Linked DNA regions of Bombyx mori. Each later gene encodes a partner of the first gene's protein in a complex. Links are inferred from orthologs where the notes say so. Each region holds a gene or a part of one and is shown in the gene's direction. Other genes may lie near its edges.

Region 1 (2,867 bases):
GTGGCTTCTGTGCCGGTACACATTTCATCGTCGAACATCAGAGATTATCAGGACTGGGTAAATTTGTTACTTATTTTATATATGTGTTCGGATTAAAAGGGTTCAGGAAACTGGACATATGGAGGCAGAGTATTGCTGGTGTCCTGTAAATATATTTCTATCCTTTATGAATAACTAGCGACCCGCCCTCGCTTCGCTTCCGAAACTGTAATTTATTATTGATTTCTCCACTATTTAATGGATGATGTTATACATATAAACCTTTCTCTTCAATCACTATCTAGTACAAAAAACCGCATCAAAATCCGTTATGTAGTTTTAAAGATTTAAGCATACATAGGGATATAGGGACAGAGAAAGCGACTTTGTTTTATACTATGTACTGATGTTGGAATTACTTTCTCATATTGTATGTTAATTTATATTGAAAAACACAAGTTTCAACTCAACTATGATAAACTCTGCACAAATGCTTAGTGTAGTTGCTTAATTAAAATTTATAATAGTATTCGCTATGTTTTAACATAGATCAAAGGTTGAATTTATTATACAAGTTTTGCATTTCATTGTTAACTATTCCATTTCAGGGTACTGCTTCAGTGCATCTTTACCGCCCATGTTGACTCAAGCTGCCATTTCAGCTTTAGACATTCTGGAGGAAAAACCTTCAATCATAGAAGAGCTCAATGACCGATCTAAGATGATGAATAAGTAAGATGTCTGTTTACTTTTTTATTATCAGACCGCAGTTAAGAACTCCTTACTTACTTACCTTATTCAAGTAAACATTATAACCCTCAAAAAATGTTACCTAATCTTGGAAGTTGTCACAGCCTAAAAGATAAAGATATACTTGTCCAGTATACTTGTATCAAGTTGACAAGTAGGTAGGTATCACTGTTTACATTAAAATCTACAAATAAAGAAGGTCACAAGTGCTTACTAAAAATATCTTCCTGACCCATTAACTGTGCTTTTAGGCACCACAAGCACCGGTCACCGTCCTCGTCGAACTCGTCGCTTGCGACGAAGGGCTCGACGAGCGAATTAACCCACAGACACAGCTCGCTGAGTTTCTCGCCGGATCTTCTCAGTGAGTCGCGTTTCCGATCCGGTGGTAGTTTCTGCGAAGCACTGCTCTTGCTAGGGTCGGTGTTAGCAACGCTCCGGTTTGAGCCCCGTGAGCTCACCTACAAACGTTAGGGTGAAGCAGAAATAGCCTCTCAAGGCTATCAGCATAGGTAGGAATTTTTTTACTAAAAATAACATTGTAAAATAAAAATCATTTGTCAGTGATAGTACATAGCTGTGATTTCGATCTGATGCTTATATGTAAGTAATTTTCATGAAATACCCTCTTTAGAACTTAATGTGTTAACTATTTGATTGTTCTAAGTGTGCCATAAAAAGAACATATTATCACGAAACACAATTTTTTTCATAATAACAAACTATTTGTTAATATTTTCAGGGCTCTTGCTAAGTTAGACCACTACAGATACAGCGGTGATGAGATATCTCCGATCAAACATGTTTACCTCAAGGATGACCTGACTGATCGTCTCAAACATTCCTACTTAAGGAACATTGCTGCTTATTGCTTTGAGAAAGGCGTGGCCTTTGCGGTGTCCGCTTATCTGAGAGACGTCGAACATAACTGTCCCGAACCTTCCATAAGGTTGGTAGCGAGCAGGAAAATCGACAATGAAAACTTAAACTTAATATGCACGCTTTTGGAAACTGCTTACAAAGAGGTCGGACCCAAACCTGATTTGCAACCTGTTCAATAATGCCAAAATAATAGATAATTGTAATTTTATTATTTATTTAAGTTTATATTATTTTTTATATGATTATTACTAGATAATTTTCTACCTTGTTTTGGAAATTATGAAAGCACTGCCAATCTTATTCTTATTATTATTGAACGGTTACTATTCAAACATATAAAAAATGTATGTAATTTTTTTTATTTCTTTACTTAGAAATGTATAATAAAATCGTCAAAGTAAAATAATAATTGCTGGTCCCAAAAAATTAATTAATACAACTTAGATATGTAATGTTTGTGTTGTTATTTTTTAAAATATGTTTTAGATAACTTAAGTTGTATTTTAAAAATTGACATGCTATGTAATTGATATTAATTATAAGACCGTTCAGAAGTAAAAGCTGACATAATAACCCTCTTAAGGCTAAAAACACTTTTCTTTCTCCTAGAATCACATTCCTACTTAAGTTTTAAATAATTAAAATAATAATTATACAGCTTAGAATAATAACATTTGCATTTTGTTGTATTATCATAATATATATAAGTAAAATATATTGTAACACCGATGCCTTAATAAACAATAATATGTTTTAGTAGGACGTTTTATTGAAACATTTAGGACATAATACATAATACCAATGAACAAAAAGTTAAACAATGTTTTTTTCTAATTTAATTAAATATTTCTTGCAATTATAATTATTTAATGTTTTAAGCTTAATTTAACTTGTGATATTTTTGTGTATTTGAATATGGGAAACAAAATTGTGATAAATCAACTGATTATAGATGTGATCATAAGTTAGAGTAAAGGGAAAATCTGCAAACAGCCTTCAGCTACTTTTGTAGTGCGATTCCACTTCGATAAAGCGGCACGACACGAGAACCCTCTCATCGTGGCCGCCGGTAACCACATTCCCGATCCTGCGGAATGGAAATCAGTCGACGTCGCCCAAAACACGTCATCTCGGATCCTCCCGATCCACTAACGGTGCTTTTAGGTACTTCAAGCACCGGTCACGGTTCTCGTCGAACCCGTCGCTTGCGACGAAGGGCTCGGCGAGTAAATTAACTCTCAGACACAGCCCACTGA
Region 2 (4,187 bases), on another chromosome or scaffold:
AAATTCCCCGCGCATTAGCTTCGACTATCATAATAGTATTTATTATCTATGGTGGAAGCTATGTTCATTCTATAATTAGAATTGCTCTCTTGCTTTGTTACATTCAAAAGTTAACGTGCTTTCTTAGGAAATTAAAAAACTTGCAGATTTAAAAAAAGGTTTAAATATTGAAGCAATAGCTTCAATGTTGTTTCTCTTTGCAGGATCGAAAATAATCATAATAATTGTTAAGTGTAGAAATAAGTTAATATAATAACTTTTTGCAGAGCAACAACTTTACTGGTGGTAGGACCTCATGTGAGTCCGCACGGGTAGGTACCACCACCCCGCCTATTTCTGCCGTGAAGCAGTAATGCCTTTCGGCTTGAAGCCGGCAGCCGTTGTAACTATACTGAGACCTTAGAACTTATATCTCAAGGTGGGTGGCAAGAAATGATAAAAGCAGGATAATGTTGTCTGGACAAAGAACTAGCCTTTTTTTAAACTACGAATCACTAAATACTAACTACCTAACATCGGGTGAAGCGTGTGTTCGTTTATGGATATTATTATGCAGTAGTAAAAGAGAGAGATTGCACGCAGGGATACCAGCAATTTGGGACGCCTTGTGGTGACCGGTAGAATCGAGGGAAAAAGGCCCAGGGGTAGAGGTCCCAAACAATGGTCGGATCAAATAGCAGAAGACCTAAAAATACCTGTCAGAGACGGACTCTACCAAGCTACAGAACGGGATCGATGGAGACAGCTAGTTGACGGAATCAAACAGAGTCACGATCCTCAGCAATGAGGGACCGATTGAAGAGAGAGGAAAGAGAGCGATAGCAACTCCTAAATCCACTTTCCGCTTCCCTTTCTCAATTAGCCGCTCTCCTCAACCTCATCAACACACGTCTAGTTACTCCTTTTAGTTTGAATATGTTAATCGCATCTTTCAATGCCAGCATTCTTGCAATGCCATCGTCGCTGGGTAGTATATTTTATAGTCTTCAATTATCATGATTAATAAATACAAAGAGGAACTTCATAAATTAAAAAAAAAAATAAGCGGAAAAAAGGGGCTTGGTCTAAATTTTGAAATTAAATCTAAAAAATATGAGAGTGCACACATGTGAGAAAATGAAACAAAGCAGCTGGATGTATCATCGAGGGCTCTTCCAAAAATTTCACTGAAAAAATCTCAGTAAATAGCCACCATATGACTGAAAAATTATTTCACCCCATCTCGTCTCATTTATCCCAGTTATCCCAACCAATTAAAGTCTCAAACTTCATCTCATTTTTCTTAATAATAATTGAATTTAAGAAAAGAAGACTTGGCTTAAAAGTCTCGTTACGAGGCCATATATTTTCCAAAAAATGCTAGTTTGACATTGACATTCGTTTTTGAGTAACAATGACAATTAAAATCATTGAGTTTTGTATCAGTGGAGTTTCTATTACATTTTCGAATTTTCAACGATTTTCTTAGAAAATTCTTAAAAGTAGACTAATCAGTCTAGGCAAAAATTTCGAACCATTTACAACTCAAAAGTGCCATACTGGTCAAACCAAAAAATATCTAAACAGAACGAAACACGAAAAGCGTGAATAGAGGAAATGGATTTAATCGAGAAAGTAAAGAAATTCATCAGTTATTGGTACATTAGATACCTATTGGCGACTGAATTATACATGGTGGAAACCTGGGAAAGAATAGCTATTCGTATCCTTTTCTTAGTTAAAAAAAACCATATCAGCATTTAAATACAAAAACTTTTCAAAATTAGGTTAGGAAAATTCTCACTCTGTGATAGACATGTACTCAGGAGGATAGACGTAATCACATTTATTAATGTTATTACTTAAAGGTTTCGAAAAACTGAATGATAATGGTCATCTCCCAGCTTAGCTAGGTTTGATGAATAAGTACTTTTAATGGTAGTGTACTAGAATCAACAAGAGGAAAAAACCCTTTGTTACATTAAATCATTCCAAAATATGAAATGTAGAATAAAGTTTTTGGGTGTATGAGTTCTTCATGACTTCCAATTCTTTATATTCCATATTAAAACTAAGGTAGAAGGTAGAGGCCAGTAATCAATTAGTTTATTGCACCCTAGGGGTTAATGCCTATCAAAAGCTAATACATGTGCTAGTTTTGTAAAATTTATTAACTAAGTGATTTTTTTTAATGACTTACATGACTCATAAGAAATAAAATGTTTCTTATTTTCAATGTTGCAAGTTATGACCTTTTCAATGATAATGAATGTAAATGCTATCTGCATATGAACCTCTAATTATTTAGACCATGTTCCAGTTAAAAGATGTCAATTTGATTAGAATATTGAATAAATTGAGGAAAGAATCTAATTTACTATTGTGTTAACATGAGCATATAGCGTACTTAGTAGTTGTCTTTTTGCAGATGATAGAAAGCATTAAAAGACTAATAGTCGAGAATCAAAATAAAGTTATGCTCGAAAATCATAAAATAGATTTTGCTGTGAATTCATTGTTTTAAATAATTCTTCAGTAATTTATCGTACACCCATATCTATCCTCTTATTGATTTCCTGATATTAACAATTTGTTGTAAGTTAGGTGCTAACTTCCGCAATGTAGAAATACAATAATGCTACAAAAATCAAACAGCAGCTTTATTTAGAAAAATTATGACTTCAACCTCAAGTTTGGCTATAAATTTTCCATCCATCAAGTGCATTCAAAAATTAAGTAAAAACATATACCAGTCTAACTATAAAAAAATTCATAATGTATCAATATTTTTTATCAGACAGGGGCTTGGCTTTACCCCTGGCATTTATGGAGTCCATTGACGATGGTAACCACTCACCATCAGGTGGGCAATATGTTCATTGGCCAACAAGGGCAATAAAAACAAATAAAAAATATATTTTATACCAACAGAATTTTAAAAAAACAAACAAAATTTCCTTAACAAACACACAGATATAGTATTTGGAATACTTTTTGGATTATTCTGGTTCTTCAACTACTACATCACTATATCAGCCATATCACGACTGCGGGGGAATCACGGGATCATTCCATCATGAATGGAGATATCATGTCATAGAAATTGTTACACTTCATCATAATCTTGTTTTATGTACGATATAACAATAGAAATAAGCATGTTTTATCTTATTTTTAAATTAAGAACTACATTTTTACTGTGGCTCTCATGTGTTCTTAATGATAAGGCTTATATTTAAGTACTAGAATCTAGGGTCAGGTGGTATATAAATAAAAACAAAATGTAGTAAAGGGAATTGGATATAAATGTTAAATATTCTTTATGCCTTGTATTTCGCTTCTAAATTTTTATTTTATTACAGTAATACCTTTAAATATATATATATAATTTTAGTCTGCACAAAATGTAATGGGGCTTGGTGAAAATCCAAATAAAATAGCATTTTTGGCACGACACGTCCTTACGGATCCTCCCGATCCATTAACGGTGCTTTTAGGTACCACAAACATTGGCCGGCCCCCTCGTCGAACCTCGGACGTGTACCGTCGGGCTCGACGAGCGAATTAACCCATAGACCCAGCCCCCTGAGTTTCTCGCCGGATCATCTCAGTGGGTCGCGATTCCGATCCGGTGGTAGATTCTGCAAACCACTGCTCTTGCTAGGGCCAGTGTTAGCAACACTCCGGTTTGAGCCCCGTGAGCTCACCTACATGTTAGGGCGAAGCTGAAATAGACTCTCAAGGCTATCAGCATAGGTAGGAAAAAAAAGTTGGCACATCAGTGAATGTAATTCTGACTTATAAATCCAGACAGTATGATTTATTTCACTTTCTTTCTATAAATAATTTATTATTTATAATAATAATATCTGTAATGTAGTGTAAATGTATTAACAGTAAAAATAAGAAAAATGTAAGTATAAACTTGATGAAAATACAGAATTATCTGGTATACTGAGTTTTGAAACTTTGCAGGGAGTGTCGATAATTGTACTGTATAATATGAAAAAGCGGTATATTCTGAACACCTATTCTGACATGTGGAAGTGAATGTATCTTGTATGTTCTTACTGTAGGTAGGACCTCTTAAGTCCGCACGGGTGGGTACCACCACCCTGCCTATTTCTGCTGTGAAGCAGTAATGAGTTTTGGTTTGAAGGGTGGGCCAGCCGTTGTAACTATACCGAGACTTTAGAACTTATATCTCA

Evidence for each region. The genes of interacting proteins can lie anywhere in the genome.
Region 2: serine palmitoyltransferase 1 (region 1) and uncharacterized protein LOC101740127 share a complex: the UniProt entries of both Homo sapiens proteins name them as parts of the serine palmitoyltransferase (SPT) complex. The link is inferred for Bombyx mori from reciprocal best matches to the Homo sapiens genes SPTLC1 and SPTSSA.

What each region holds. Positions count from the first base shown.
Region 1 is NC_085117.1:6,882,290-6,885,156, reverse strand, and holds the end of serine palmitoyltransferase 1, read left to right. Parts: coding exon 1-57; intron 58-587; coding exon 588-711; intron 712-1,471; coding exon 1,472-1,790; 3' UTR 1,791-2,367; downstream 2,368-2,867. UniProt on the Homo sapiens protein: Component of the serine palmitoyltransferase multisubunit enzyme (SPT) that catalyzes the initial and rate-limiting step in sphingolipid biosynthesis by condensing L-serine and activated acyl-CoA (most commonly palmitoyl-CoA) to form long-chain bases.
Region 2 is NC_085130.1:2,444,483-2,448,669, reverse strand, and holds the start of uncharacterized protein LOC101740127, read left to right. Parts: upstream 1-1,387; 5' UTR 1,388-1,596; coding exon 1,597-1,702; intron 1,703-2,952; coding exon 2,953-3,059; 3' UTR 3,060-4,187. UniProt on the Homo sapiens protein: Component of the serine palmitoyltransferase multisubunit enzyme (SPT) that catalyzes the initial and rate-limiting step in sphingolipid biosynthesis by condensing L-serine and activated acyl-CoA (most commonly palmitoyl-CoA) to form long-chain bases.